4 linked regions of the Saccharomyces cerevisiae S288C genome follow. The gene in region 2 interacts genetically with the main gene of each other region. Each region holds a gene or a part of one and is shown on either strand. Other genes may lie near its edges.

Region 1 (8,354 bases), on a different chromosome or scaffold from region 2:
TCTCATAATTGGTCAGAAGAAAGGAAATCTAGGCAATTGAGTTCTTTGGGTAAAAAAGAGTCACAATTTTTAAGGCTGCGTAGAACGAGATTATCGTTAGAAGATTTCCACACTGTGAAAGTCATTGGAAAAGGGGCATTTGGTGAAGTCAGACTGGTTCAGAAGAAAGACACCGGAAAAATATATGCAATGAAAACTTTATTAAAATCCGAAATGTACAAAAAGGACCAATTAGCACACGTCAAGGCTGAAAGGGATGTTCTGGCTGGAAGTGATTCTCCATGGGTGGTTTCGCTATATTACTCATTCCAAGATGCTCAATACTTATATTTAATCATGGAATTTTTGCCCGGTGGTGATTTGATGACCATGCTAATCAGGTGGCAACTATTTACAGAGGATGTTACTAGATTTTACATGGCTGAGTGTATTTTGGCCATCGAAACCATTCATAAATTAGGATTCATTCACAGAGATATTAAACCAGATAATATTTTGATCGATATTAGAGGTCATATAAAATTATCTGATTTCGGGTTGTCTACGGGGTTCCATAAAACTCACGACTCAAACTACTATAAAAAGCTTTTGCAACAAGATGAGGCAACTAATGGTATTTCCAAGCCAGGTACTTACAATGCAAATACAACCGATACTGCAAATAAAAGGCAAACAATGGTTGTGGATTCTATTAGTCTAACAATGTCAAACAGGCAACAAATTCAGACATGGAGAAAATCACGTCGTTTAATGGCATATTCTACCGTAGGTACACCAGATTATATTGCTCCTGAGATATTTTTATACCAAGGTTATGGGCAAGAGTGTGATTGGTGGTCACTTGGAGCAATTATGTACGAGTGTCTGATTGGTTGGCCTCCATTCTGTTCCGAAACTCCACAGGAAACGTACAGAAAAATCATGAATTTTGAGCAAACTCTACAATTTCCTGATGATATTCATATCTCTTATGAAGCCGAAGATCTAATCCGTCGACTATTAACTCATGCAGACCAAAGACTTGGTAGACATGGTGGTGCAGATGAAATAAAAAGTCATCCATTTTTTCGCGGTGTTGATTGGAATACAATCAGACAAGTAGAAGCACCGTATATACCAAAGTTGAGCTCCATCACCGATACTAGGTTCTTCCCAACCGATGAGTTGGAGAATGTTCCAGATTCCCCAGCTATGGCACAAGCTGCCAAACAAAGGGAACAGATGACAAAGCAAGGTGGAAGTGCGCCAGTCAAGGAAGATTTACCTTTTATTGGCTACACTTACTCCAGATTTGACTATTTGACAAGAAAAAATGCGTTGTAGGGACGCGTTAAGGACATTCCTCTTTATTCAAGTATTTATCTATGGATGTAGAACGCACATTATGAATAAATAACTGCACTTTTTTCGGGAAAAAAATTACCAAAATAGACATCAGCTTTATCATATGTCTCCTTGAAGTATTTGAACGACCACCTTTCCGAAGACAATGTACCTAGTAACCTACAGGCTGCCCTTAATCCATACATCCACGCACAATAGCACAATCTCGGTGATGGCTGGTTTTTTTACCTTGAAAAACAAGAAAAATGGCTGATGTAGTTGAAAAAGGTAAAAGAGATGGCAGATCAGGGGACGATTTTGTAGAGGAAGTATCTATATATATCGACCATATTGAAAAAAATATGAAATAACATACACACGTGTAAGAATATATAATTTTTGTTATTAACACGTCGTAAAAGAGAAAAGATCGTGCTTTCATCACGCGCTTCCTCTCGGCCTTTCGAACTATAAATTATAAGATGATCCAGTCTTACAATACTGAATGAAACTCAGGGAAGACGATAGCGGAGGTTCGACAACCGATCACTGTAAAACCTACACTTTCAAGTTCATTAATCGTCGCTTGAAAGATCGTCATAACCAAATATTGCTAGAAACAAAAGCGTTCGGGATAGGTCAAACCATGATGAACTAGTTCCACACGCATATCTTAAAGCGTGCTATTTTTTAAAAAGGGCAAATTTAGGAATGTCTGACGGAATCCCTAATCATCTTTGGCTTTTCCCTTCACTCCCTTCTTTTACCGACGATGGTTTGAAGGAAAGAGAAAAATGAGCAATAGGAAAATTCAGTAGTCGATTTCCATTTCAATTCCCTATTGGGTAATGTGGCGGCGAGGGCTAAACATTCGGTATCATTGATTCAATGTTCTCACAATGTTCAAATTCTCGGATCGGGTATCCCTAATTGGGATCTCTTTCCAGAGGAAGGGGCCTTGATGTGGGATTGAAGACACATGAGTTTTTTTCTCACCGTCGAAACTTTTGCTTACCCGTAAAACATCGGCCATTCGTTGGTTTATTATGTGACTTTTTTGTGACTTTTTTTTTTGCGAAGTTTTCTCGTCATCCGCGGAAGATCCGGCGGGCGAAAAAGTCTCTCACTTTTACCCAATCGGGGCATGTTATGTGGACATGTTATGTGTCCAAGAGACACATGAGCCCAAAAAGGGTACACTGTCTAAATAGTTTACCCTTTACGAATCGAAACTTCTCGAAGAAGGGGCCGAAAATTAGCGCAGAAGTTGACGAAAGTTTATACTTTTCCTAATGGAGAGGCTCAGGAGCTGAAAAGGGATATATTCGTACTCTATTGCATCTTCAAACTCCGAAGAATCTCAGTAGGGAGTGAAGCCGGCTTCTCGATGCTACAGTTCAACATCGATACTTTGAAGAAAGAAAGCGCCTATTATATCTCTTTTACCCTATTAGTAATAATTAGGAAAAAGGGAGAAAAAAGTACCTCACTAAAAAAACCATCATCTCTGAAATATAAAAAGCTTGATAGAGGGTGACATTTGCTAGAACTTCTGCTGTGTTCTCTTGGGTTATTGCTCTTATTGAATATCCCTTCTATTTCTTTCTTGCTTGTAAAAAATCAGCTCAAAAAACATCTACAGGATTAATCGTCAGTTAAGTAATACAGTAATAGAAAATGAAGTTCCAAGTTGTTTTATCTGCCCTTTTGGCATGTTCATCTGCCGTCGTCGCAAGCCCAATCGAAAACCTATTCAAATACAGGGCTGTTAAGGCATCTCACAGTAAGAATATCAACTCCACTTTGCCGGCCTGGAATGGGTCTAACTCTAGCAATGTTACCTACGCTAATGGAACAAACAGTACTACCAATACTACTACTGCCGAAAGCAGTCAATTACAAATCATTGTAACAGGTGGTCAAGTACCAATCACCAACAGTTCTTTGACCCACACAAACTACACCAGATTATTCAACAGTTCTTCTGCTTTGAACATTACCGAATTGTACAATGTTGCCCGTGTTGTTAACGAAACGATCCAAGATAAGTCATCCGCCGGTGCCGTTGTTGTTGCCAACGCCAAATCTTTGGAAGCTGTCTCATTCTTCTTCTCTATCATTTTTGACACCGAAAAGCCTATTGTTGTCACTGAAGATTCCGCTTATGCCATTCCAGTCGCTAACAATAAGAACGCTACCAAACGTGGTGTCTTGTCCGTCACTTCTGACAAATTAGTGTACTCCGGTGTCTTCACTCCACCTACTGCTTGTTCTTACGGTGCTGGTTTGCCTGTTGCTATCGTTGATGACCAAGACGAAGTTAAATGGTTCTTCGATGCTTCTAAGCCAACTTTAATCTCTTCTGACTCGATTATCAGAAAGGAATACAGTAACTTCACTACTCCTTATGGTCTATTAGAAAACGGTGTTCCAATTGTTCCAATTGTCTATGACGGTGGTTACTCTTCCAGTTTGATTGACTCCTTGAGTTCTGCCGTTCAAGGTTTGGTTGTTGTTTCTTCTGGTTCTACCAACTCAACCTCATCTACTATTGAAAGCACTGAAATCCCAGTCGTATATGCTCAAGCTAACACTCCATTAAACTTTATTGACAACAAAGATGTTCCAAAGAACGCTGTGGGTGCTGGTTACCTATCCCCAATTAAGGCCCAAATCTTGTTGTCCATTGCTGCCGTTAATGGTGTCACCTCCAAGTCCGCTCTGGAAAGCATTTTCCCATGAACTGATAGATATTAAATCTAGCGAAGCATAGAGATTCTTTTTTTACCAGTCATCATAACCATTATTTTACAAAATTTCCACGCAACAGCTTTTATTTTCGTTCGTAATAGGAACCATACTTCCCATTAAAGCAGTATGATTGTTTTATACACCTTTTTATTGTTATTTAAGACATACCCCAAATAATTAATTAATTAATTGATGAAAGAATCATATAAATTCTTGGCCATACATATTTTTTTATTATCTTTTGCTACATTGACCATAGGTGAATATCTTCCCGGGGTGACACTCCACTGAAGTGGGAAAAAAAGAAAAGTTTTAAAACATTGCTCACCTTAAGTCTCGAAGGTCTAGCATTCACTACCTGTAAGTGTCAAGACCCCACATGTATACATGGATACAATAAAGAAACAATGTCCGTATAATTTGTATACATTTTACTACAGATAAGGGATCTCACCCCCTTCTTTTGTGTCTAAGTGAAATCTTCTGATATATTTAGTGTTTTATAGCGTCCATGTTTTAAACTAGAACGGCAAAATAGTAGTTGTTGTAAACGCTTATTTTCGAGACATCAGGTAAAAAGGATAGTTAAATCTTACAATCAATGCATGTAGTGAGTGGCGTTTATCAATAGTTTTTAACAATTCCCATTTTGAAAGAAGCCCACAACAACCCTAGTAGTTCGTTAATATACGTTATGATGGTCAAGTGTCACAGTACGGAAAGCTTGCAAACAGCTCTTACATAGAGGAGTTGCTTCAAAATAAACGTCCTCTGGTGTCAAGTGTCTCATACAGCGACCACATGCGAAAGAAACTACTACAGATAAGCAAATACACAAATTATAATCGTGGATTCATCATCAGAATACGCCTGGCCCTGTAATCCTTTGGCTCACCAACATTCGATGGACACCTTTATATCTTCTAATAACAGTGAATAATAGACACAATACGAAGAAAAACCCAGCGGTAACCATGTAAACGGTACCACTTACGCCATAAGCTAAATAGATCAGAATGGTAGAGACTTTGACAAATAGCTCGAAAGCTTTAGCGAACATTAGTCTTATCCAATTTAAGTTGGGTTCATTGCCATCTCTACTTTTCATAATATGTTTTATCACAGGTGAAGAGTAAAATACAATGATGTTATGAAACTTTCCAAGCAACCCTAATTTACCAGTATCCTTATATGCTATTAATGTCGTGCCACCAGAACCAAATATCTTGGCAAATTTCCAGTATCCCACGATTTCGATTATAAAATCATTCTCTGAAAAGGTCATTGAATTGAACCCGCTCCTTAATATGTTGTATACGGAAAATGGGAATAAAATTAGCCCAATAAAGTAATCTAAAATGAATAAATTTCTAAGAAAAGTTCTGAGAGGGCTCTGCTGCCTTGCTGTGAATGGGGAATCGGCCGTATTGGCGTTGGTGGCTCTTATAGTGTCTGCATTGATTCCTCCATTTCCGTTTGTGGTTGCATCCATATTAGCTGCTCTATTTATATTTGAAGTAGAACTCATATTCCTCCTAAGGGAGTTAAATATTCCATCGATTGCTTGCTGTACATCCTGCTGTAGTTCTTGCTGAGATTGCTCGGTTACAGGTGAAGGCTCTCTACTATGCCTCGTTTCCGATTCTTCTAGAAATCGCTGAAACAGATAATCATCATTATCGTCTCTTTCTGTCCAATTACTGCGGCGATGATTTTGAGGCCTCGCCATTTTTTCTCACTAAATGCTTGTGAGGATGTATGCGTTTGATTCGGTGTCTCTTTAATCATATTCCCGAATCGACCCTATTTGAAGGTAGAGGGAGTTGTTTCCTCTCACTATTGTTATAAAAGATCATCAATGACGGAAACTAATATGCAATGAAAAAATGAGAAGTTTACATGAATATGAAGATTAACTGCACAGCAATGTTGTTGACCCTTGGTATTCGCACACACTAAGCCAACATAGGTTCGTTCAATTTTTAAAAAGAAGATGGTCCGGCCTCAGAATGTTCACTGGTTTATCGCTACAATTGTATTTTTCATCGGATTTGTACACGCTAATACAGAATCAATCTTATATAAGGTTCCTCACAACTTTCCCCTCAAAAAACCAAGAGACAGCTCTACTTATGCAAGAGATGTAAACTTGATATCTTCCATATCACTATCGGGAGAAGCAATGAGTCAGATCACTATCGAGGCCAATACCACTGACTTGGAGTTGCATAATACTACGTATATTGAACTGGCGGACTTACAGCGAGACGAAACATATCAGATTAAAGTGTGTTGGTCAGCAATACATCCAATTTCCATTAATAATCTCCAAACTATCACAATACCACGTTTCACTGAATTTCAGGGAACTAAGTCAGACTACGCGAGAATACTAGTGACTTTCCAGGTCTTGTCTGACTCGTATCCTAGTGAGCATGCCATGGTTCCAATACAAGTCTCATTAATCACCACTCGGCTAGGTATCCCCGTGGATATTTACCCAACATTAATCGTTATGGTGCTATTAGTAGCAGGGCTTGTTGTTACCCGGGCACCACACGTATTGAACGATCTTTTGCTGAAATTTTAGTATGGAAGCCTGAGCCCCCTTTGGCTGGATAGCTTGGCCTCATCACAACTAGAACGTAAAAAAGTCCATTAACCATCAAATGCTTCTCATTAAAGTGGGTATTTTTATCGAAAGAAAGGGACCTGAATATCTAACTCGCCGCTATGTCGAATGAAAACTTATCTCCCAATAGTAGTAACCCAGATTTAACTAAACTGAATAACGGCGAAAGCGGAACTATTGATACCAGCAAATTCTCGCCCAACGAAATGAAGCTATACAAAATGTACGGAAAGCTGCCATCAAAGAAAGATATTTTTAAGCATACCATGCAGAAAAGAAAATATTTCGACAGTGGTGATTACGCTTTGCAGAAAGCTGGCATTCAAAACAATGATCCAATAAACTATGGAAAGAATAACCTGCCATTAACAAATCCCAGCAAACTACGAGAAGATATAATAAAAAGAAGGATAAGCACTTGTCCGTCAACTGCCTCAACCGCTGGTGTAGTAGATAATGCGACGTTGATACAAAAGGAGGGAAGTATATCGAGTGGACCACCATCGTCTAATAACGGTACTATTGGAGGTGGTAGTACAAGTTCAACGCCAGTGGGGAACCACAGCTCTTCGTCGTCCAGTTTGTATACTGAATCACCCATTAGATAAATAGACAACCTGTACTTTTTTATATTTTTTTAGGGAAAGAGAAGGGTCTCTTATATTTAACGCTTATTATGTGATTTCTCGAAATGTCAAGTGTTACAGCCATATGGCTGACTGTGTTTACGTTAATTAGTTATATATAAACGATAAGCCATTCTGATGTTATCTTCTTGTACTTCTAATTAATAATATTTACTCGTCAGAATTTCGACTTTAATGAGAATATAGATATCTTCCTAGTTTTCCAAACATTAGAGAACCAAGGAAATAAAAATCCATGAAATATAAAAATTGGGAACCGTCGATAATATCTTTGTAGCAAGAGATACAACAACCCACCCCAATGCAGATGCAGCTCATTAACATGGATATTGAGCCGTCAAAAAACAACCACAGTATAATATTCAGAAGCCCCCATGCCCCTGCCGCCTGCAAAGAGGAGTTCCACTGTATTTTCCTGATCCCAAATGTGACTCCCAACATGGCATTGATACTTCTAATAACAGAGGTCAAACTGTCATGGTGGACAGAGCTCTTAACAACCTCTGTTTGAAAAATATTATCCAGAATTGGTACAACAGAACCAAATAACAGTCCTTCAACACCGTAGCCTAACCAGTTTGGCAGAACCCCATTGGATAGCCAGTTACAAAGTTTGACACCCAGTAGAAGGGGTCTCGATGCAAAATCTGGATGTAAGAGATGATTATCGTGCAAGTTTCTGGACAGTTCATGATATGCGAAACCGCTCAATGACAAAATTAATACAGCTTGCAGGTAATGAAGAATATTTTGACGAGTTTGTCTGGTTCTTGACGGAAAGTTTTCGTGAATGGATGATGCTGATAAAATCCTTTCCAAATTATTAGAAGATACTGTGTTCCTTGGCAGCGAGCCGCCAACCTTATGGGCCAAGTAAAAAGTCGAATCAATAGTTTGATCTCTACTATATTTGGTAGAATCTATAGAGACAGAGCGTTTCAATTCTTCGTAAATTTCGTTATCTTCCGATCTCACGACGTCATCATCATATAATGAATAAA
Region 2 (5,190 bases):
AAGCTTATTACTCTCAATTCAGATGATCTTGTTCCTTTCCAACATATAAAGCATTTTCTTCCATAGAGTTACGTACTATTCCAGGAGGCTTTTCGGACTCATACCATATAGAAAACTATTTTTATGCTTCTTCATTTACTTCTACTTGTTTATGTTTATTTGTAAAATTACATTATTTAATTTCTTGAAAGTAAAAAACTTGAATTTCTGAAATAAATAAAAACTAGAGAAAAATTAACGATGAGGCATGCGACGGAAATCAATATTGAAACTTCTCAAAGCTGAACCACTGAAAGGGTTCTTTAGGACAATTTTCATTCCCTTAATCAACAAAAAATGACTAAAACCTACATATTCTTCTTAGAAAAAATACATACGCAAAACAAGATAGAAGAGCAACTGTTGATACGATAGCAAGGGTGACAGAGACTATTCAATTATATGTCTTTTATTTTCATTCTTATCACCACTTTTCCGTTTTCAACTTCGTTGACCGCAAATTAAATCTGTTCTTCTGGTGGTTGATTCAGTAATTCTTCGATTATTGGACAAAGCTCTAGTGGCCTAGTCATGCATGAAAACCTTTTAACCACCTTCCCATTTCGGTCTACCACAAACTTTTCAAAATTCCATTTTATCATTTTTATTCCAGACTTCCCGCTTACTGAATTCTTTAAGAACTTGTAGACGGGATCTTGCTTTTGCCCGTTGCAACGGATCTTATGTAGAATAGGGAAGGTTACACCATATTTATCTTGACAGAACTTATTAATCTCTTTATCCTTCTCGAACTCTTGATTTCCGAATTGACCACAGGGAAAGGCCACAATCACTAGACCATGTGATTTGTATTTTTCGTACAAGTACTCTAATTCCTTGTATTGAGGTGTGAACGCACAATGAGATGCTACATTGACTATCAAAACCACTTTGTTACGCAGGGAGTTGAAGGGGAATGGATTTCCGTTTTCATCTATTGGTGAAAAAGAATAAAATTCTTGCATCGTTACTTATAAATATTGTGTTTCTCCGCTTATATTCCTTATACGGGTTCACAATCAGAGAACCTCGCCGTGCACAATATCACCTACATGACTAAAATATATTTGTACATTACTGTGTTATATAATCACTTAATATTGTTCACCATAAGCAATCTCTGTAGTAGAGGTGAGCCCCGGCTTTAAGTTCTCTTAGATGTGGCGAACAAGGGATGAATCGCTTACCCTATAGAATTAGGGAACAGAAGGGGAAAGCAAATACGGAAAATTTTCCACATGAAGACGGTAGTGGGGTATGTCAAGGGGATACTAATGTATAATTAATATATATGTGTGTATCTACATTATTTGGTGTTGTTTTATTGGGTGATGGATCGAAAGGTGGATTCTATCAAGTCCTTCAACTCCTTATAGGATATAATAATACAGTTTAACTCATCGGGCGTTACCAACATTAACTTTTCTTGAATACCAGCGTCTAATTTGTTCAAACATCTTAGGACATGAGTTAAATCCATTATTGGTTTCCCATTCGAATCCACTTGATGGAATACGTAGTCATAAAATAGTATAATGGGGAATTTAGTCCCAGATTCGGACCAATTTATGTCTATTCTTGATTCGATTCTACCAAAAATGCAATTTAGCTTGTTGACCAGCCTAAATAATCTGCCATTTTCTAGTTCTCTTGATAAGACAGACTCCATGTATTCTGTATAGGTTTGTGACGATTCCAGGACCATGAACATCTTATCATAAAAGTGACTAGTAAGATCATGAATGCTCTTTTTGGAATCGCCGTTGTCTGATATCAGATACTTGAGTACATCCTTGAACTTATCATCGATCTGTCTCATGTCATCAATTGATTGAGGGGTTATTTCCTCCAATCGATATTCTTTAGGGGCAGTGTTGTTATTAGAGTTTTCAATATTAATGGATAGGTTAAATAATAGCTCTCCTAAATATTTGTAGTCTAGCTGTTGTTGTCCCTCTATGGTACTTCCGCCGGAAGATACTACGGTATCAGTATCATCATTGAACAAAAGGTCCATAAAATTGCAGTGTGATAACTTGATTCTCCCTGGGTCCCCAGTAATCAAAACTTTTCTCCAGTTTAATGTATTGCCAATACTCAAGTTTTGTGAATGGATAGAGTTTATTACATTGGTGAGTTGAACTAAATATATCCATAAATAATTATTCGTTATTGGAAACTTAGGGAAATTAACAAAGTGGTAATCATACAAAGATAGCGAGTTTGGGTAGTAGTCAAAGACCAAACAAATAGACAGATCACCAAATTTAGTAGTTTGAAAAATGTCCCTAAACTTTATCAAATTTGTACAATTAATTTTTGACCATATCTGATATATTTTGGATATTTTGTTTGGATTCATTGACTTATCGATGTTAGGAAGCCTCTTCAAAACGTAGGCTTTACCGTCATAATTGGAAAAAACTTTGAAGAGCGTAGTTTTATTTAAAAAATCGTTATTATTGAAGTTCAATGGAACCAAATTAAAATAATCTTGTACAATACTTGGTATAACTTTACCTGAAGAGGGGAAAACCTGCAAAATCGATAAGTTTTTCTTGGTTAAATCTTCTCTAATATTGTTTGGAATGAAAAGCTGATCTGCAGACCTTTCATTAGGCTTTAATAATGATTTCAATGATGATGGCTGTTCAGGTGCATATAGGTGATACTGTAGAAGACTGTGAGGAGGCGGATAAATACGTGGGTACTTAAGATTACTACTCTCTATGGGTGGCGGTTGCATAGGAGGTGGCACATTATTAGCCATACTCATATTGTTACTATTATCATCAGTGGCGTTTATATTTATGCCACCAGAATTTGCAATGGAGGGAAATGGAAAAGAATGTGCATTTGCATTAGTGTGAATTGAGGAGGTTGAAGACGGAGTGAAAATGGGGGCATTGAAGGGGTCGTAATTGGAACTCGAAGCGGTAGTTGGTATTGATATGCTTATATTACTATTATTGTTATTGTTATTCACTAACGAGCTATTAACTATCGGATTAATCATCGGATTAACTGTAGAAGCAGTAGCAGAGGTAGCTGCCATGGCGATATTGCCAGTAGCATTTGTAGCAGCGGAGGTGGTATTCGTCACAGTGGTTAAGGAGTCACTACCGACTGTCATCGGAGTGAAACTTGCGGATACTTTAGCATTGAACTTAGGAACTGATGTCATGGTCGGAGTTGTAGCCTCACCCACATCTATTGGAGGAGGAACGTCATTTATGGTAGTAGCGGTAGTGTTATCGCTGTGTTTGAAAGGGCAACCTTCTTTCTCCTTTTTGCAGTAGCCATAAATAGTGATATTTCTGCACGGAATATCCTTCGCCCAATCAGGATTGATTTTGTCCATGGCGTAAGATACGTCTGACTAGTCTTTTAGGCTTACCTATCATCGAAACAGTGCTCCCGCCATTGTTATTATTGCTCTTTTAATTCATAAACCAAATAATTTAGCAGTTTATTTTAAGGTTACCCTGTAAAGGTCTGATATGTAGGGGAGGGCATATAATCATTTTAATATATATGTATATATTCTTACATATATATATAATATCGCCGTAACTTATAGCGTAAACTATATAAAATACGTCTTAGTCTATAAGCTATCACGGATAGCGTCTTGGACGTCTTTGTACACATCTTCGACGGATCTGTCGCAACGAACACGGACGACTTTCGATTTGGTTTCAAAGTACTCGATGACGGGCATACTAGTCTCCTTGAAAGTGTTAAATCTCTTCTTAATGGACTCAATGTTGTCATCGCTTCTACCACTGGTCTTGCCACGCTCCAATAGTCTCTCTAACATGATATCTTCAGGGCAGTCAAAGAACAGGATGAATTTGCTTTCAACGATGTCTCTTTCAAAGGAAATGGCTTGATCCATCTTCCTAGGAAATCCGTCAATTAAGAACTTATGCTTGTTCGCCTTGACGTTATCGGAAATAGCGTTGCGTAAAAGCGCCAAAGTAATCTCTTGAGGGACAATCTGGCCCTCTTTGATGCAGTTCTTGATCAATTCCCCATATTGGGAACCTGCTCTGCCCTGCTCAGCACGTAGAAGGTCTCCGGCTGACAAATGGACAAATGAATAGTCCTTAACTAGTTTTTCACACTGAGTACCCTTGCCTGCACCGGGTCCTCCTAGAACGAAGATCACGGAAACTTGGTCAGGCGAGAAAGCTGGCTGTGATGTAGTGGCAGCTGTCATTTGTCTTATTCAAGAAATTCAACTGGTTCGTTCTTTTGATAGTTTACCGAAATAACTGATGTCACGAGTGCTAAAGTTCCTACGAGTACCAACAATTTGCCTTTGTGTTTACCCTTGCTTTGACTTTTGTTAGCGCGTGGTACGTTTACGTTGGTCTTCGAAGGTGCTGTATTGTGGAAAGTTGGTTTTTTCGAAGAATAAAATCTCAGTATAAACCTGTAGCGTGGATTCATAATATAACTAAGCTAACATAAAAACGGGAGAGGGTGTGTGCGACTAAAGGCAAAGACAGGAATGCATCGCTTTAAAAGATCACCATAACTACTTAAAAGTTTCGTTAACGTGGTGAAAAAGAAAAGAAAAAGAAAAGTGAAAAAAATAAACCTAGGGTTGAAAATATAATCAGTTAGGTGTCATGATATTGATACATTTATTTCTATAGGTCTGAGAGTACTAACTTAGGGTATATGAGGGGTGTTAAGTTGGGATGATGACGCATTAATTAAGAGTTCATTATATGAGGATATTGTATACAATGCAAGAATAGCGCCCCAATCCCGGCCAGGTATAACGTGCAAGCATGAATAAAGAAGAATTATTGGGTTTTCTACTAGATGACAGTATTGATAGCCAAAAAAGATGCGTCACGGATCAGCAGGCCTACTCTAATTGGTTAAAGAATGATAATGATGAACGTACGGCCCATGAGGAAAGCTCTTCACAAAGTACGATAGCCGCATTGAATAAGAAGAAGCAGACAGAAGCTGCTCAAGAAGATATAGAAGAACTGTTAAACGGCTTAGAAGGCATTATTGGAGGAGCCGACCCCCGTAATCTCAAGAGTAAGTCAAAGAGGAAAACCAAAAAGGGCGGATCGAAACCAAGGGAAGAAAACGTGAATACGGAGAAACATATTGTAATGCTCGAGG
Region 3 (8,705 bases), on a different chromosome or scaffold from region 2:
GCTCAAGTGAGATGCAGAATCAGTATCGTTTGCATTCCTCGAGCTAGATAACGATAAACTTTGTGAAGGATCAATGTAATCACTAAACGCAGAAAGCCATAATTCACGTTCCTTCGACGTTTCAGTACAAATATAATACTTTGTTGAGGTTGACAGTCCGCTTTTCTTATGCTCAGTGATCAAAAACCCATTTCTCGTTCCAAATCTATCTTCAGGGAGATTGGGTATAAGTTCTATAGAAGATTGTCTCAATTTAATAGTTTCAGTCAACTGATTTTTGTCAAACAATTGTAAAACATCATCGCGCAAAATACCGTACCGAACTCTCCATGTACTATTACCTGTTAGAGTCTTTGGTCTTCTCAGCAAAAGTGATCCGTCTTTCACATTATCATCCATCATTGGAGGTGTCATTACTGTATCTGTACTAATAAATTGGGCGATTTTTAAACCAACATTTTTGGGAAATTCAGGGACACTGAATATGCTTGTATAATACTGATTCAATATGTTCTTTCGCGTATCCACTTTTGTAGGTGATAAAGTCTGAAATAATTGTCTATCAGGTAACGTGGGCAATGGTAAATCGGGAACATGTGATTTCATATATACATCTAATTCGCGAACTTTATGAATAGATTTTGAAAATTTAAACATCTCCTTACCGGATTTCCTGTCTATGATTGCAATTAAAATGGATAAATCATCTTCATTATCCCTGTACAATGTGCTCAGTACTTCAATCTGGATAGTGCCAAAATCCTCCGGTTGAACGAATAATGGAATATCCGACTTAAGACTTTGGGCCACAGACTTCACGGTGCTCACGCTACTTGCATGAGGTCTTCTAAGTGTCTTCAACGAACCTTGGGGTGTTGAGCTAAATGTATTCAAGGTATTGGTTGAATGGATGGATGCCGTTTCTCCAAGTTGTTTTTGTTTTGATGAACTTTCCACGGGAGGATTTGGAGGAAGAGAAGCATTTTGACTTGTTGTTGACAATTTTGTAGAAAGATTGGGGAGTGATGAAGTTAACACAGGTTTCTTTAAATTTTTTGCACTTTGAGCACCAAAATTATCATCCTTTTTATTCAAGATAACCGGAGAAGCCAAATGGCTTGATAAAGGAGTAGAGTTTTTTATATTTCCACTAGAAGTAGGTGAGAAAAAAGTTGGAGGCGCTGGAGGTGGGGGTAAAGATTCGTTAATCGTGGATTTTATGGACAGAGGATCTTTACTGTCCGTATTGACTAGATCCTCTTCGCCAAATGAGGAGTCAAGTAATTGGGTGAAGTCGTCAAGTTTTTCTTTAGATGCTGGAGAGAAACCCAAAGCCTTGTTTTCACCCTCCTTGACTTCCAAAAGGGATGATGGACTTTTGGCTGCTGAAGTAGGAGTTCCAGTAGTGTATGCAGAGGATGTTATAGAAGAATAAACGCGGTCATTTTTTTGTATCGCGTCATTAGTTAGTTGTTGACTTTTACTTTCAGTCAGCTCATCTAAATTATTAGAGGTACTGGCCTTTAATGGAGAATGCAAATGGTTGTTGATAACAGCCGTCATTCTGTTAGGATTTTGAGGGGAACGCAAACGTTCTTGCAATGGAGATTTCGAACCTTTATTAGGTGATTTTATGGTTATCCTAGACGTCGTATAGGTAACAGAGGCAGCTGGGCTAGCCAACTGTTCTGAATGTATTTTTGTAGGGCTTGAGACAGATCTATTGATAATTTTGGGAGATGAGAAGCTACTATTTGCTTCTATTTCATCGTTTAGTATCATGTTCTGTAAATGCTTCCTACTTATTGAAGTATTTGATGTAACACCTATTTGAGGTACTGTAGGCGTTACACTTGTTTCAAGTGCAACGTCTGAACCTTGTTGCAATGGAGGGGACAATGTCGGTATTGGCAAATTAAGACTCTTGATATGCGCTTTCCTTTCAGCAGATCTTGGGGGTAACACAAATGATTGATCGTTAACGTATGAATCTCTTGAGTCATTTTGAACTTGCTCAAGCACAACTTCTAAGGAAGCTTCTCTGTTTTTTTGTAACATATCAATAACCTTTTCCAAACTCTCAATTTCAGTTTCATATTCTTGGACTTGTAGCTTTAGCTTAATGTTTTCCGTAAAAATTTCATCATAGGACGGATTTCTTTCTTTTCCTGAACATGTTCCTTTTTCTATATGTTCTATAGATTTGTCCTTTTTGGATCTATGATCATTGTACTGCGCCAACAATTCAAGGGTGGTACTACCACCATGAGTTGTGGTCAAATTATCTGTCATTGCGTGCTGTTAGTTGAGTGTGAGTTTATTCTAGAATATACACACAGATACTCCTAGCAGCCAGTGTTTCAACAAACGTGATGTTGTATATGCCTGATGTAATCACGAACTCGAACAAAAGGCAAAATGGTAGAAGGCAAGGACAAAGAAGAAAAGAGAAAAAACTTCCAGATACAAAGCTAACACACAAAGGTAAACGGTGATTAAAATGGATATATCGTTGATGTATTTAACAATCTTGAAAAATTCCGTTTAAAAAACATACCAATACGCGCAATAAAAACGGTTCTTATCTGGTACTTTACCTAGTCAGACGATTATTGTTCTTTATAAAACGGCCGCGTTTTTTTTCCAACATCACCGCCGCCATATAACTTTCGACATTCTTAGAGTTGTGGTATAAAGAGCAATGCATATACGTATGTAATCCTAATTGAAATGCTATCTTTGTAACATAATGAATGGTTCAGTTGAGCACATACTTACCATCACCTCCCTCGACAAATATGTCCTGCACATTCTCGAGTGTGATGAGTGTCTGCTTTATGACCATGTCGGCAACTGTGCTGCCGATATGTGGCAAAGCTGTAACATCCCATCTGCGAAGTAACTCTTGCTTAACGCGTGTTTCCTCATTTTTAAACACATCGAGACCACAGCTTGCCACTTTTCCAGATTCAAGAGCGTCTAGTAGCACATCTTCATCTATGCATGTGCCTCTCCCAACGTTAACTATCCTGACACCATCTTTACACCAGGCCAAACTTTTACGATTGATAATATTGTTTGTAGAGGCCGTACTGGGCAAGGCCAAAATGATCAAATCCGCATTCTTCCAAGTATTTGGATCATCTAGATCAGAATGGTACTTAGCGTTGTAATCAAGTAGACTCTTTTGGACGGGACCGGTCCTTTTGTAGTATTCAATGCTCATGTTGAACACTTTGTGCAAGTTAGACCCTATATTTTGTCCGATGGAGCCAAACCCCAATATTAGAACTTTTTTATTCATTGGAGATTCCATTTTTTTCCCGCCAACCGTGTACTTTTCTGCTAAATGTACCACTTTCCTATCCTTGTTAGGCTTGCATTTGTCTGTTCGAGAGGGAAATTTCATTTCCTGACCGTGGTAACTATCTGTAACAATTTCATACGAGTCACTAGAGATATATTTCTTACACTGTTCAACATTACCATTTTCCACGTATTTAAAACAATATTCCCAAAATGAAGTCATTCTAAAGCAGCTAATTGCTAGGAAAATAGCCAATTCTGTGACATGGTCAGCAGCATGTGGTCCAATGTTGCATAAAGTGATACCTTTCGATCTTAATAACTTACCGTCAATAAAGTCACAGCCGACCCATGGTACAAGGATTACTTTTAAAGATGCGGGGAAGAATTCAATATAACTCGAAGGGTTTCCTAACACAGTGAAAAACTCCTCAGTGAGCCAAAAGCCGTTTATTCTATGAGTTTCCAAAAATTTAACAAAATCATCCTTTGTGGACATCTCATATTTATAGAATTCTACCCTTTCTGCCAGTTTGCGATATTCAGGAAGATGACTGGCGACTTCCCATTGGGTTTTATAAGGCACCAAAATTCTTGGTTTGGCAGAATAAGTTACATCTGCTATGTCAATTGAAGTAATCATTGTTATTTAAAGGTTGCTACTTTTGTACACTCAAGTATTTTTCTGTATTTGAGAGAGAGCTATTTGTACTCCACACTCCACCTTTTAGATCTGCGTCAAAGTGTCAGAATAAACATACCGTAAAACGGAATGACTACCGCCACCCCAATGACATAAAAACGGAAGAAAAAGAGCAAAAACCGAGCGCCAAACTATCTTATTCAACGAATCAAATAACAATACAAATGCAGAGGTAAAACATTATTCGCCACATATATATGTACATATCTATATGTATACATATTTTTATATATCAATCTTTTGAAGAGCAAAGTGACCTCTTTGTTGTTATCCAAAGTTTAACCAGTCCAGTTAAGCCGGATCCCAGGGACAGAACGGCATACGTTCCCTTTGGAGTTTTTAAATTTAGAATATCTGATGTATTAGCCATGCAATCAAACGATAATCTTGCAATATCTAAATAAACAAGTGTCTTTTCATCCTTGATGGCCTTTAGTTGTTTGTGTATTAACACCTCTGCGTCGTTATTAACATTTAGGTCATTTAACAACTGTTTCCTAATTGGCGATTGTGAGCCATCGTCTTTATGGGCCTGATGCATCAGTATGGGTGAGAGTAGTAACGCGTTATTTTGAACTTTTAGTTGCACTTCCAATTCTAATTGTCTCTTCTGTAAGCTTTGCAGGTTGAGCCAATGGTCCTTCAAGCTTAAAAGAATGTCGTATTGCCATGCAAGAGACTCTTGTCTACTGACAAAGGAATAGAATGATTTATTTGTCCATATTTTCAATTTGTATAGCAAGTCTAATTCATCAAAGATACCATAATACAAGTCCAAAAATTCTCTCAATGAAGCTTCATTAAACCATATTTTCTTAATTTGGTCAATTTGAAAGTTGCACTTTCTGGTTTTATTGAATTTCCCCAAGAAACTGCACACTCGGAATGGTGTGCCGCCAAACCTTAAAATATATCTAAAAGTACTTAATTGTTGACTGATAAAATCAATTTTCTTGTCAAAATTTCTCAAAAGAGACAGGAGAAGTACTTTAATTACCGTGATTGGATGCCTTAGTGCGACTTTTACAGTCAGATTTTTCAAAATCTTGGTATAGTACGTTAATACGGAAGGGTCCAAAACAGTTAAATTTCGCTTAGACTTTTCGATAAACAGTTTTAATATATCCAGAGCGTATTTGATAATTTTGGCTAATTTGTCTCTACCAGATAGAGAATCCAATATATATTTTAAGATGGTAATATTATCCACCATCTTTGTTTTTGCTTGAGAATCCTCATCATCACTTCTCGAGGATTCAGTATGCGACTCGCTTCCACTGCCTGCACTGAACTTCTCTGCACCGGCGTCTGATGAATGTGGATGGGTATTGTCATCCTGGGCGTCCTGGTAACTTGCCCCAGAATAAGGTGGTGTTTCTGAACCGGAAACGATATCTGTCGTGCCAAACTGACTCATTGTTTTACGACCAGTTTCTATAGGTGAAGACTTACAGGGAAGTTGAGGATATCGACTCTATTTGTTACTTTCTCCAGCATACAAATTACCGATGATTCTGAGAAGAAAGAAGAAAAACGTATTTCAAAAATTATATAACCTGAAATAATAAGCCCAATCCCACCGGAATTTCATATACTATCACCGACCTGGAAAAAAAATGAAGAGTAAAAAGAAAAAAATAAATTTAGCGCCGCTCGGTTTCGATCCGAGGACATCAGGGTTATGAGCCCTGCGCGCTTCCACTGCGCCACGGCGCTGCTAAATCATGTGAGTTTAGCGCGTACCGAGCAAATTCACCAAAATATTTACATCCAATTTGCTCCCCTCACTCTTCCCCGATGTCGGTTGTGATTACTGCTACGCATGGCGACTCTTAATTTCTTTCAGGTATAGTAACATTTACTCCTTTAAGTAATTGTCTATTTTTCCTCGACACTGTATGTAGTTACCTTTCAAGGAAGCTATTCCAATACCATCGTGAGAAAAACTCTATTGGATACTTCATCTAGCTCGTATATATGCTTTTTAAACTTTATACCAAACCGTGTAGGCAAAACTGGACCGCCCGGTAAGTTCTGCTATTAACAAATTAAATAAAATTGGCCAAACTGAGGATTGACAGTTCTGAATATCCAAGATTACTGACTTCAATTTTCTCACTTCTCATCATAATATTCCGCTGATTTTTACATACCGTATATCCAATTTACGGCCCTTCACATATAGCGGCGAAATGATGGTAAAGCTACGCATACTGTCTGACAGGACCCTATTCTAGCAACCTTACATGAAACAAAAACAAACAACATCACATCATACGGATGAACTACGGGTGCAATCCCTGACTCATCAATGTTTATCATAAACTTAGATATCAACACTGATAAACCCCACCTCTATTTTTACTGGTTCTTCACTTTTTCGATGCCGCACCGTCGCCCGCGATCCCCGCCCTTTGATTGCTCCTTCCATTAACAGTTTTTTTCTATCCCTTACAAGAAGCCGAGACGCCGCGAAAATATCGGCTAGTGCGAATAGTCTCTAGCTCTTGCCCTTCGCAAAGCACCGTGCTGCTAATGGCAATCAACAGCGCATCGCCGCTCGCTGAATTTTTCACTTAGCGGTAGCCGCCGAGGGGTCTAAAGAGTATATAAGCAGAGCTTGCGGCCCACTTTCTATCAAGATCTAAGACTGTTTCTCTTCTCTTGGTCTGTATATGTTTTCTCAAAGTTAGCAGAAACAACAACAACAACTATATCAATAACAATAACTACTATCAAGATGGAAACAGGACCTCATTACAACTACTACAAAAATCGCGAATTGTCCATCGTTCTGGCTCCATTCAGCGGCGGTCAGGGTAAGCTTGGTGTCGAGAAGGGCCCTAAATACATGCTTAAGCATGGTCTGCAAACAAGCATAGAGGATTTGGGCTGGTCTACGGAATTAGAGCCCTCAATGGACGAGGCCCAATTTGTGGGAAAGTTGAAAATGGAGAAGGACTCCACAACTGGGGGTTCCTCTGTTATGATAGACGGTGTCAAGGCTAAAAGAGCAGATTTGGTTGGTGAAGCCACCAAGTTGGTGTACAACTCCGTGTCGAAAGTGGTCCAGGCGAACAGATTCCCCTTGACCTTGGGTGGTGATCATTCAATAGCCATTGGTACTGTATCCGCGGTTTTGGACAAATACCCCGATGCTGGTCTTTTATGGATAGACGCCCACGCTGATATAAACACCATAGAAAGCACCCCCTCTGGAAACTTGCACGGCTGTCCCGTGTCATTCCTAATGGGTTTGAACAAGGATGTCCCACATTGTCCCGAGTCGCTCAAATGGGTTCCAGGCAACTTGAGCCCAAAAAAGATCGCGTATATTGGGTTGAGAGATGTTGATGCCGGAGAAAAGAAAATCTTGAAAGATCTGGGTATCGCCGCCTTTTCCATGTACCACGTTGACAAATACGGCATCAACGCTGTCATTGAAATGGCAATGAAAGCCGTGCACCCAGAAACAAACGGTGAAGGTCCCATTATGTGCTCCTATGACGTCGATGGTGTAGACCCATTATACATTCCTGCTACAGGTACTCCAGTGAGAGGTGGGTTGACCTTGAGAGAAGGTCTTTTCTTGGTGGAAAGATTGGCCGAATCCGGTAATTTAATTGCGCTAGACGTTGTTGAATGTAACCCTGATCTGGCTATTCATGATATCCATGTTTCAAACACCATCTCTGCAGGTTGCGCCATTGCAAGGTGTGCATTGGGTGAAACCTTATTGTAGTTTATATCATCATCCCTTTTATCAAAATAAGCATTCTCTTTTTATTTTAGTTAAGCACATGCATACATAAATTTACGAACAAAAAAAGAAAATAAATTAAAAATAAAAGTAGTGTATCTTCGTTACTTTTCATTCTTTTTGGTTAACCCACGTCTAATTGCCAATACACTATCGACGATCACGGCATCTACACCTGCTTCAATTTGTATACTGGCATTTTCGGGATCATTGTTGTCCACACCGTAAGTGACACATACCAGCCCATTAGACTTAACCACTTGCACCAACCGTGGGGCCTTTAAAATGGGTGCTGCAGCAGATACAATCCCCAATAAATTCCACTTCTTAGCAAATCTTATACCGTTTTGTAACGATGAGGCTCTCAAATCGGCCATCTGTTCACTTCCACCTTCCGTCAGGAACAAGATCGGAATAACCGGTTGCTTTAACGAAAGCATGATGCAAATATCCGGATGAAATGACGAAAAAATGATGTCCCTACCATTCGCATTGTCAAAAACTACTTTTAACACGGTGTCAACCCAATGGTTCATTTCCATCATTATTTGCCCTAACTCTTCCTCTTCTGCCTCATCAAGCATGGGAAACTTACATTCTATGTTAAACCCAACGTTGGCAGGGATTTTCTTGAATAGTTCTTTCAAGGTAACAAATGATGAAGCTATTGAATGTCCTCTAGCGTTTCCCTTAAAATTGTTCTTTTTAAATGTTTTGGTTAGCCTCATTCGATTGTCAGACCAATGAGCATTGTTGGACTTCCCATTCGGGTCGTTGTCGTGTAAATCCCAAGCTCTCCTCAATGTACTAACGTCTGAATCATCTACCGAACGCCCTCTATATTTTTGTAGTGCTGTATCTGCTCCATTTACATGATGAGGTGAGTGACCTGCTCCACGTTGAATGTGCTCTTTATCGGCATTGTTCAAATCTAAA
Region 4 (9,750 bases), on a different chromosome or scaffold from region 2:
ATTGGGAAAAAAGGGTCTCGCAAGGACTATCCCAAGAGCAGAGTGCATTGTTTAAATATAAATGGTAGTACTCCGTAGGGAAAACTATGTTTGCGTTTCACCAGACAACAGTGATGTACGTTCTGTCACTAGTTGCGCTGCACTGTCTTCTTCAGGACTGTATAGTTCTCTTTCCAGTTCACGTAGTTGCATATCAGTTGCATAAAGGATATAGTATTGGTAGAAGTATATCAAATCAAACGCAATTGTTCCAGCACTTCCAAATATAAAGGGCAACTCATTCACGATGAATTCCCTCTTGTTCTGATTATCTAAAAATCTACAGCTTGTGAAGATGCTCAAATTATACGTGATATTGCAGAGTAGTGTAGTAGCAAATAGGAAGGGAGATAAGCCGTCTGTAGACTTTCTATTGTAATTCTTGATTAGTTGTGGGATACGTGCGCCTACGTAGAAGGAAGCGCCAATCCAAGATAAAATTGTACCCAGCTGGCTGTTTTTACCATCTCCGGGAGGCCCCACTTGTGATTGGGTGGAGCCTACATTTAGCGGATATGCGCTAGCTGTACTTATAGTATGAGCTATAGCCAAGGCTGCTGTAATGGCAGACCTTCTTCTACTGCTTCTAGGGCTTTCTGCACTGCTACCACCTTGTATCATGTCCTCTTCCTCCCTCAAAAGCTCACCATTTTCAACCAGTTCGGGAAGAAGAGGTTTAGGCTCATGGCCGACAGTCGCCAATTTATTTTCATGCAGCACGCCATAGTAATAATATTGACCACATACAAAAGAATCATTCAATAGAAAATAAATTGCTAAAAGTATCTGAAATAACAATTGCCCTGTTAGCTTTGCCCCTATCAGCGAGGTAATATCCCCACATAACCAAGCCAGCAAAAAATATGGCGATAGCCCATCGACAGATTTATCTCGATAAGTCTCAATTATTTGTGGAAACAATGAAATAACAGAGGTGAAGAAGGATAATGATCCGCACAAATTAGATACAGTAGGCCAGATGCCGTTTGAGCACGACATGAAAAGATTCTTATTTTCACTTTATAATTTTTAGCACCGATAACAACGAACCTTATCGATTGATATCAATAGATACTGGCTTAAGGTAATGAAAAGATTGCTTCTTTATTTGTCTTTGTTGGAGACGAATATTAATGCCTGCAAAAAGTACTTGACGTTTATGTGCACGTTTACGTTTGTTTTTTTTTGATCCCTCCTCAAGCGAAGAGATATACTAAAAGATATACTTAGTGATAACACTGGTACCTATTGTCACTACAAATCACTGAGCGAAATCTTTTTTCTTCGCGAACAATTTCTTCCATGCTGCGAAATTTTGCAGCACGTAAGTGAATGCCGTAGAAGCTAGCAAAAAAAAATGGTGATGAAAAGGTTAATAACAAAACACAATAAGGGCATTAGTTCATTGTTTATTAAAAATATATTATTATATTAATCGAAAGTAATTTCTGTATGTATGCATTTATAAGTTTCAGAGTGAAAATGAACTTAAGAAGAGATAGTCTGGTCACCAAACTTTTAGTACGTGCCACATACACGCTAACGTAATTTTCGGTAGTAGTGCAACCACCACTTTGTGAAAATATTATTGAGGTTTTCCTCTTCGATACTATCCTCCGTATACAGTGGAATACAAAAATGCTTATCATCCAAATCTGATAAATGTTTCAGATTATCATATCCGAAGTGGTAGTTTAACAATACGTTAACTGTTAGTGAAACCAAAATCTTATAATTTACAATAACCTTCTTAGATCTATAGTATTCCCATACTTTGTCTTTGAATATTTCCATTTTTACGGGGTAGTTTGCAAAGTTTTGGCCATTATGAACGATAATTACATCCATTACCCACATAAAAAGTTTATGGTCCATTCTTTGCAATATGTTCCACCATGTATTGCTATTCAAACATCCGCCATTGAATTCATTTTTGAACTCATCTTTTCGTAAAAGATGGGCAACAATTCCTCTGGGATTTAATATTCTTGAATCGTATTTTTCCTTGCAAATTTCACTGAAGCACGTCATCTGTATCAAGTTGACCATTTCCCATGTTTCCTTCAAAGTCCCAAAAGATTGATCAGTTAAAAAATGGTAGAATAGCATCTCATCACCAGTAACCAAACCTTGTTGAGATATAGATTTCAGTTGCAGTAATAGCATCAAGTCAGAAACCACTTGCTTATCTGTTCCATTTTTATAAAAAACCTTTTCCTGTACATCGTGTTCAATAAGCTGTCTTATTTCAAATTCTTTATCTTTGGGAAAATCCATTTTGTTGAGTAGCTGCATTACTTCCTCAAATGATTCAATAAAACATTTTGTTATCAAGCAATTGTCACTTTGTAGAAGTTGACTATATATTTGAAGCCGTACTTTAGATATCAAAGGTGTTTCCCAAATAATTTTCTTTAATTCACTTAATGACGAGTTACGAGTAATGCCTCGGTCCAGTAAATGCTGGAATTTGACCTTATTCTGCTCATTCTTTTTGGCTTTTTCGTCACGTTCTTTATTTTTTTGCAACTCTTCCATTGATGCTAAGTCGATATTTTTGTAGATTTGTTTATCTTGCAATTTCCTCTCTTTGAAATCCTTGGGCGGGAGCCAACTCGGACGGAAATGACTTACGGCCTTTAGTTTGTCCTCTGAAACTAGCATTAGGTCTTCCATTCCCTGACTACTGGCTTCTTTAAATTCCAGTGGTAAACTCTGTACAGATCTTGAACGACCAGAAAGAATACTTTTGGAGATTTTTTCGGAACTATGCAGGTATATTTGGGAGAGATTTTTCATTGTATCCTGGATGTACTGTGAATCAGACACAGGAGATATACCAGGAATGCATGTTGGCGGAAGCTCCTTATAGTCCAGACATGATTCTTTTAAAGTGTTACTTGAATTTGATGTATGTTTTCTAGTACTATGAACCTGATGGAAAGTTTTGTCCACACAGAGAGCCGAAGATGAGTGTTGTTTGCCTTCGCAATTGTTCTCCTGTATTAATATCTCTTCATCCCCCCGCGCTGAATCTAAACTCATTTCTTTTCTATTAAACTTAGATAATGTTAAAAAAGAACTGGTCGATAAAGATGCCATTGGAATGTTCCAAATTAACGAGCCGTCGACATCGCCCTCTTGAAGTTCCAAGTTAACGTCTTGATCTTCATAAAATTTTTCTTTCATTTTTATGGCTTTACGCAAAGATTGGTCATTTTGCTCTTTCCTTAAACGGTAACGTTGAGAAGGAGTAAGTTGGGTTGTTTTATATGGTAATATTACAGAAGTACTATTGGAATGCACATACGGCGTTTTTGTGATCGGCATGAGTTTTGGTTCTTGGATAGTTGCGGTACTCATGCAATGATGTTTAAGAGGAGAGTCATTCTCGCTTATGAATGAAGTTTGTGATGCGGCTATACTGTTGGTTGTATTGCTCGATCCAGGCAGCCCTACTGTCCTGGAGAGTTTAGGAGTTGACACCGAATTTTGACGAGATGGAATGCATGTAGTTATGGTACTCATTGAGCAGATTGTTTTATCAGCGCTACTTGCTGTACGTGTTTTCTGTAGTATTGATCCCGGTCGGCTTTTCTTTAAGGGCGTAATATTGCTTCTATGGTCAGCTTCTCTCATACTTTTGAAGAAGCAGTTATCCTCCATCTTACTGTTTGCTATTTCACCCTCTTCTGAGCTTATATCTGATGTACATAAAGAATCAGATGTCGTATTTGAGTGCGATGAAGAAAATATCTCTGTGCTCGATGTACCTATAGAATCATCTGATATTGGCCTAATGCACTTCGCTGTGGGTACGTGTGGATTATTATTACCTAATACATTTTTAACAACATCTTGGCTAGCGAAATTGAAATCTAGGTTGGAGCTAGGGCGTCTTGTTCCAATATTCTTTCCGTTCGAACCTGTAGTGCTACTGGATGCACTACTGCCTGATCGGGATTTAGACAACGGAAGGCTGCAACTTTTGCGTTCGGTATATTCTGAAAGCATCAACTCCTTTGTGGAAAACTTCTTAGGTTGATTTTGTTTCAGATGCGTTGAGTCCTCCTCCTTTAAAGGGTCTAGCTTAGACGTATTAGGAACTATATTAATCAAACGACGTGCTGTCATACAATAAAATTGAATGTCACAGAAAGCTAAAGAGCTGAAGTAAAATAATGAAGCAAAGGTGGAAGCCCGAAAATAAAGTTAAAATTCAAAGCTTGTAACGAACGTATGAATGAAAGCACTAATTGAGAAAAAACTGAATTTTGTCAAAACAGCTCTATGTTTCAGAATGATAAAAAGGAGAGTTAAAAATACAATGGACAGTGGAATACAGCCAAATGCTCGATAGCTTTCGCAGAAACAGTACAATTAAAGATCAACACTTGTATTCTAATTATAGCAGGATCGATGTTACATCTCTTTTGCTCTCTAATCGGAGCTGAAAAAAAAAAAAAAAAGCGTATATAGTGATCTACGCTGATTAACATTATAGATTGCATAAAAGGGAAAAAGGAATTACATGAAGATCTATTCTGCGCGACACACTTTATTGGCGTACTGGCAAGAATGGGCTTTCAAATCTTCCAAGCGTTCACTTTAATGTTCTTATTGGCATGTTAAAATGTATATGCCGTGTCTATTCCCAGCCTTTGGCTCAAATGGTCACTTCACCGCTGTTTAAACATATGGGTAGCGCAGGGACATACACAATTCTACCTATTACAAATCTGCGCCATTTATCTACGAAAAACTGTCCATTGAAAATTAAATCAAATCGTTCAGAACCTTTGCAGTTTGGCGATTTTGAACGACAGGTGCCATGTTCTAGGAAGAGCGGATCTTCGAAAAATGTTCAGAAGCGTTTATACGAGCTCCGACAATTGAAAACTGTATTAAGTGAGACTTTTGGAGTAACTGAATACGCCTCTTTTTTTGAATCTCTACGAAATGCCCTGCATATAAATAATTGCTCAGAAAATGAAAAGAAGAAACTTTTATATGATATCATTTTGCATCAACACGAGTTATACCCAGAGGTGGCAAGAAAAATTGGATTTTATCTACCAGGTGAGGTCCACAGATGGTTCTGGTATCATATTCCAAAATCAGAATCTTTTAATCACTATCTTTTTCTTTTGAAAAGTGATGTTCTTCTCTTTACTTCTAACTACTGTACGAGATTTACCAATAGGCTGATAAAAGGAACTGAGATGGAGAGGCAGTTAGCCACGTTCCAAATATTTTTGCATGATGAGACAAACATAAAATTTATAATGGAAAAAGTTCTGAAGTTGCATACATTTGACAGCTTAATCGCTCTAGTAAATGGCCTTGTTAAGGCGAAAAATTTTAGGTTCATTAAAGTATTTATTCAAGCTCTACTACAGAAGTTGGAACAGCACTGTTATTCTGGTAAAGATGGAGCAAAGCAAAAGAACCTGCGTTATGTCAAGTTCAACAATACCTTACTTTATTACCTTTTGAAAAGTGGAAATGTTGAGTTATTCATCAAAACCTTTCAAGAGGAACTGAAATTCATTGTAAGCTCAGGATTGCTTAATCACATTGATGGAAACGAACACATATTGAATTTTCCCATTCACCACTACTTGAATCTGCTCCGAATATCTAATAGGCAGGAGGAGCTTTTCAATGTAATTTCCTGCTTACAAAGCAGCCCACTGATGAAATATAAATTGTTCAAGGAGTTTTTAATGGGTGAATTAATTGCATCTTTTCAAGCCTTTCGTGACCCGAAATTGGTGTGTAAATATCTCCTCTCATCATACAGCTCAAAGGCGTCTGCTAATATTCTGAATGCCCTAGGGATTTGGGGGTGGCTCTATCATTCAAAATCAACGACTTTGACAGCTCCTACGTTAGCAAGAGAGCTGAAGAACAAAAATAATATTCTACCGAACACAATGCGAATAGGATCACCAGTGACTGTTCCAATTTTAACTGAACTGTATAGAAGCCTTTTATCTTCGAGTTCTGTTTCACTGGAAAGTGGTCAATTCAAGAATTGTCTTCTTGATTTATATTACAAGTACAAGAGTTTTCTTTCCGAGGAAGCTCATAAATACAGGTATTGGAGAAATGATACCGGAATCCTCAATGTTTTCCTAAATTATATTAGATTCCAAGCTCGTGAACCAAGGCTGGCCTACAATGTTCTTCTGGATTTTTATTCTCAACCTTTCGCCAAAAAAGTGGTTTTAACTACCACGCTATGTCCCTTTTCCATAGTAGCCTATAAAAATCATACATTAACGCAGGCTGAACTATCAGAATTGCTACAGGTGATGCATAAAAATGGGGTGCCTTTAACGTTTAAATTTTGTTCTGCAATGGTAATGCATTATGTCAAAATGAGAGACGAAAAAGGAGCACGCTCCTGGTACAATAAGATACTCTTCGGGGGCTTTGAAATCAGGCATATGGCTTTGATACAGATAATAAAAGACCAAGGCTGGCCGTTTCCCAAAAACTTTGACGAAACTTTACTGACGGAATTGGTGGAAAATAATAACATTAAAGAACCTACTGATAGCACCCTGTTTACTGACGAAGATATGTTCGAAGAAGATGGCAAGCCTAGATTTAATGATGATGATGTTAATAAATGTACAAATATTATAAGAGAGACGTTGAAAAGTCTAAATTAATATCCAGATGAGCACTAGTAAATAGTAAATATTCATTCATAGATAGTAATTTACCCATAAGTTATTAATACCTACAAAGTTTTTTCATAAGTTTATGAATATGTCTTCTTGGCCCATGGTTACTTTATTACCTCTAATACCTTATTTACTTTCTCAAATAAATGAGCCCTTGGATTTCATTTACTGAGAATAAAAAAAAGTACCGTGCTCGGCAAAAATGCTCCAGGGGAGGTTCGAACTCTCGACCTTCAGATTATGAGACTGACGCTCTTCCTACTGAGCTACTGAAGCTTTGTTTTGTACAGACGTTACATCTCAGAATGGGATACGTCAGCATGACAATACATTATCCTGAACGTTCATAGAACACATATGAAACCTAAGAAAACGAACAGATTGAGCAACATGAGGTAAAACTCCGCCTTCTATAGCTGGGCTATCTAAACGTATAAATGCCTGAACAATTGGTTTATGAGAAATGGGTGTATTTTGAGAGACTTGTTGGGATTCCATTGTTGATAAAGGCTATAATATTAGGTGTACAGAATATACTAGAAGTTCTCCTCGATGATATTGGAATCCTCTAAATGGAATCTATATTTCTACATACTAATATTACGATTATTCCTCATTCCGTTTTATATGTTTCATTATCCTATTACATTATCAATCCTTGCACTTCAGCTTCCTCTAACTTCGATGACAGCTTCTCATAACTTATGTCATCATCTTAACACCGTATATGATAATATATTGATAGTACAACTATTAGTTGATAGACGATAGTGGATTCTTATTCCAACAGTTTAGATCCAAGGTTCCGCGCTTCCACCATTTAGTATGATCCATATTTTATATAATATATAGGATAAGTAACATTCCGTGAATTAATCTGATAAACCGTTTTGACAACTGGTTACTTCCCTAAGACTGTTTATATTAGGATTGTCGAGACACTCCGGTATTACTTGAGCCCGTAGTACAGCGCAGGCCTCCAGAGTTGAATTATTCTAAATTCCTGAATAATAACAATTTTGCAGACAAAATTCAGGCAATAACTCAAAAGAGTAATCTTTCACTGCATTTAAGGCGCTAAGATTCCCGCCAAAAGTAGTCGTCACAAAAGAACGTATATAAAATGCACTTTCGAGCGGTGACAATGTGAGAAATAGGTAAATATTGAGACAATTGTTGGGATTACCCTGTTTCTCATCTTTTATGTCATCTTTTTACACCGTATATGATAATATGCTAGTCGATAGATGGTGGTCGATTCTTCTTCCTGTATACAAATATATGAGTTGGGGATGTATATTGCAAAGAGCTTGATTATGACACATTGCCAGACCAAAAAACAAATCTCTTTCTATAATGTTCCCAGGTGGGCTAATTTTTTAAATAACGACGGCAGTATATTGATATTGGAGAGAGTTGTATTTATTGTTCGATATTTATTTTGATATCAGCTTTATATTGTAAGTGTTCAATATTTTAATTAGTGTGTATTTTGTAACTTTACTGCCAATTATCAACATAATTACAAAATTGTTATAAAAATTGATGCACTAGTGTTTCGGTTCTTGCTCTTTTAACCAACCGAGCCTAAAAAAGAGGCTCTTGAAAGTAATTTAACCCAAACAATGAGATCTTCATTCTTTTTTTTTTTACCTCAGCTATGACTTGCAGTGCTTTGTATCATACCGCTCGTTTGGTCGTGCTATTTGCAACAATGAACCTCGTTACCCCGAACAAAAAAAAATGAGATATTGAACGCCGCAGCTCATCATGGTAGAATGATGCAGCTAATACCAAAATAAGTTATATTTAGAATGTTGGACATATCAGTTGCATTAGACTAATCGTTCTAGAAGGATACAGAACTTGGAAAGATCTTTGAACGTATCGTAACTGCGTGCTTGCTTTATTTGCCGTTGATTTTTGCTATGACATGCCTAATTTTATGGTATCTGTGGCTCATATCAACTTTTCAGTTAGAGTTTGCAACGGCTAGTACTGCAAATACAACAACTACAGCAAAGTCTGGAACCTCTTCGTCAACGGAGGAGCCGTTTCCTGTACTAGCCGTGGGTAAAGATGGTAGAGGAAACTACTATGTTAATAGCACATTTGGCACTCCCGGTCAACGCCAACGTTTGCTAGTGGATATTATCCAACCGTACATAAATCTGGTTTCCGGAACAAGCGAAAGTCATAACGAATACTCCGGTGTATATCATAAGCATCCCAGCTACCTCATGAATGACTCTACATCATCTGTTCCTGTTTCTCCTGGCCAAATATATGAGATTTCTTTCATTGATGGTAGAGCTGTTAACTGTACTTTGGTGACAGACGATATGAATTTTACAAATGTTTCCTCAGAAAATTCCTCGACCGCTTTGATAACCGATTTAATGGTAACTCGAGATAACGTACAATTTAACTCGGGGAGCCTATCCATTTCAAACGTTTCCTTCTTTGATATTCAGTCCTCGAACTTTAAGACTTCAGGCTTGTTAGGTTTAAGCGGGAAGGTCACAAACCCAGGCAATGCTATCGATAGCTCACAATACACAGAACAGTCTTATTTTCTATCCTTATTGAAAGATGCAGATATCATTGAAAGTTCGTCATATTCACTGTGGTTGGCTGGAGACACTTCCACGTACAAAACATATAGAGATCCAATATCTAATTGTGGGAAGCTACTTCTTGGAGGGGTGGATCCTTCGCTGTTTACCGGTACACTGGGAAAATTTGACTTAATTCCTTACGTTGACCCAGTGAGTAATGCTGTTAGTGTTGGGTACCCAATTGTGCCATTAGGCCCTATTTATATTGTGTCTAACAGCGGACAAAGTTTGAATATGACTTCGAAGGACTTTCTGAGCCCAGCCTTACTTGATTCAACTTCTTCGGTCAGTTACCTGCCAACTAGTACCATTATTCAGATTGCCGTTCAAATTGCGGCCACTTATGTGGAATCACTAGATAGGTGGCTAGTCCAATGTTCTATAGCAGATATGGGTGT

Evidence for each region.
Region 1: mutations in GPX1 (region 2) and ASI2 together harm fitness more than expected from each alone (negative genetic interaction), as found in Saccharomyces cerevisiae (one large-scale study listed by BioGRID).
Region 3: mutations in GPX1 (region 2) and YPL113C together harm fitness more than expected from each alone (negative genetic interaction), as found in Saccharomyces cerevisiae (one large-scale study listed by BioGRID).
Region 4: mutations in GPX1 (region 2) and ATP22 together harm fitness more than expected from each alone (negative genetic interaction), as found in Saccharomyces cerevisiae (one large-scale study listed by BioGRID).

What each region holds. Positions count from the first base shown.
Region 1 is NC_001146.8:333,545-341,898, forward strand, and holds ASI2 (Asi2p), read right to left. Parts: upstream 5,804-8,354; coding exon 4,934-5,803; downstream 1-4,933. Other genes in the region: serine/threonine protein kinase CBK1, read left to right, coding at 1-1,323; YGP1 (Ygp1p), read left to right, coding at 3,001-4,065; PGA1 (Pga1p), read left to right, coding at 6,068-6,664; IGO1 (phosphatase regulator), read left to right, coding at 6,808-7,314; NSG2 (Nsg2p), read right to left, coding at 7,525-8,354.
Region 2 is NC_001143.9:388,880-394,069, forward strand, and holds GPX1 (glutathione peroxidase GPX1), read right to left. Parts: upstream 1,005-5,190; coding exon 501-1,004; downstream 1-500. Other genes in the region: TCD2 (tRNA threonylcarbamoyladenosine dehydratase), read left to right, coding at 1-26; PAN-complex poly(A)-binding subunit PAN3, read right to left, coding at 1,361-3,400; URA6 (bifunctional uridylate/adenylate kinase), read right to left, coding at 3,647-4,261; MIN9 (Min9p), read right to left, coding at 4,267-4,494; SKA1 (Ska1p), read left to right, coding at 4,842-5,190. UniProt on the Saccharomyces cerevisiae protein: Glutathione peroxidase-like protein that protects cells from phospholipid hydroperoxides and nonphospholipid peroxides during oxidative stress. Has peroxidase activity using thioredoxin or glutathione as a reducing power. Involved in peroxisome formation.
Region 3 is NC_001148.4:333,195-341,899, forward strand, and holds YPL113C (glyoxylate reductase), read right to left. Parts: upstream 3,950-8,705; coding exon 2,759-3,949; downstream 1-2,758. Other genes in the region: GTPase-activating protein BEM3, read right to left, coding at 1-2,292; PEX25 (Pex25p), read right to left, coding at 4,242-5,426; CAR1 (arginase), read left to right, coding at 6,750-7,751; GDE1 (glycerophosphocholine phosphodiesterase), read right to left, coding at 7,874-8,705. UniProt on the Saccharomyces cerevisiae protein: Putative 2-hydroxyacid dehydrogenase.
Region 4 is NC_001136.10:1,173,089-1,182,838, reverse strand, and holds ATP22 (Atp22p), read left to right. Parts: upstream 1-4,664; coding exon 4,665-6,719; downstream 6,720-9,750. Other genes in the region: YPQ2 (Ypq2p), read right to left, coding at 85-1,038; SBE2 (Sbe2p), read right to left, coding at 1,579-4,173; YPS7 (putative aspartic endopeptidase), read left to right, coding at 8,663-9,750. UniProt on the Saccharomyces cerevisiae protein: Translation factor specific for subunit 6 of the mitochondrial ATPase. Required for assembly of the CF(0) component of the ATPase.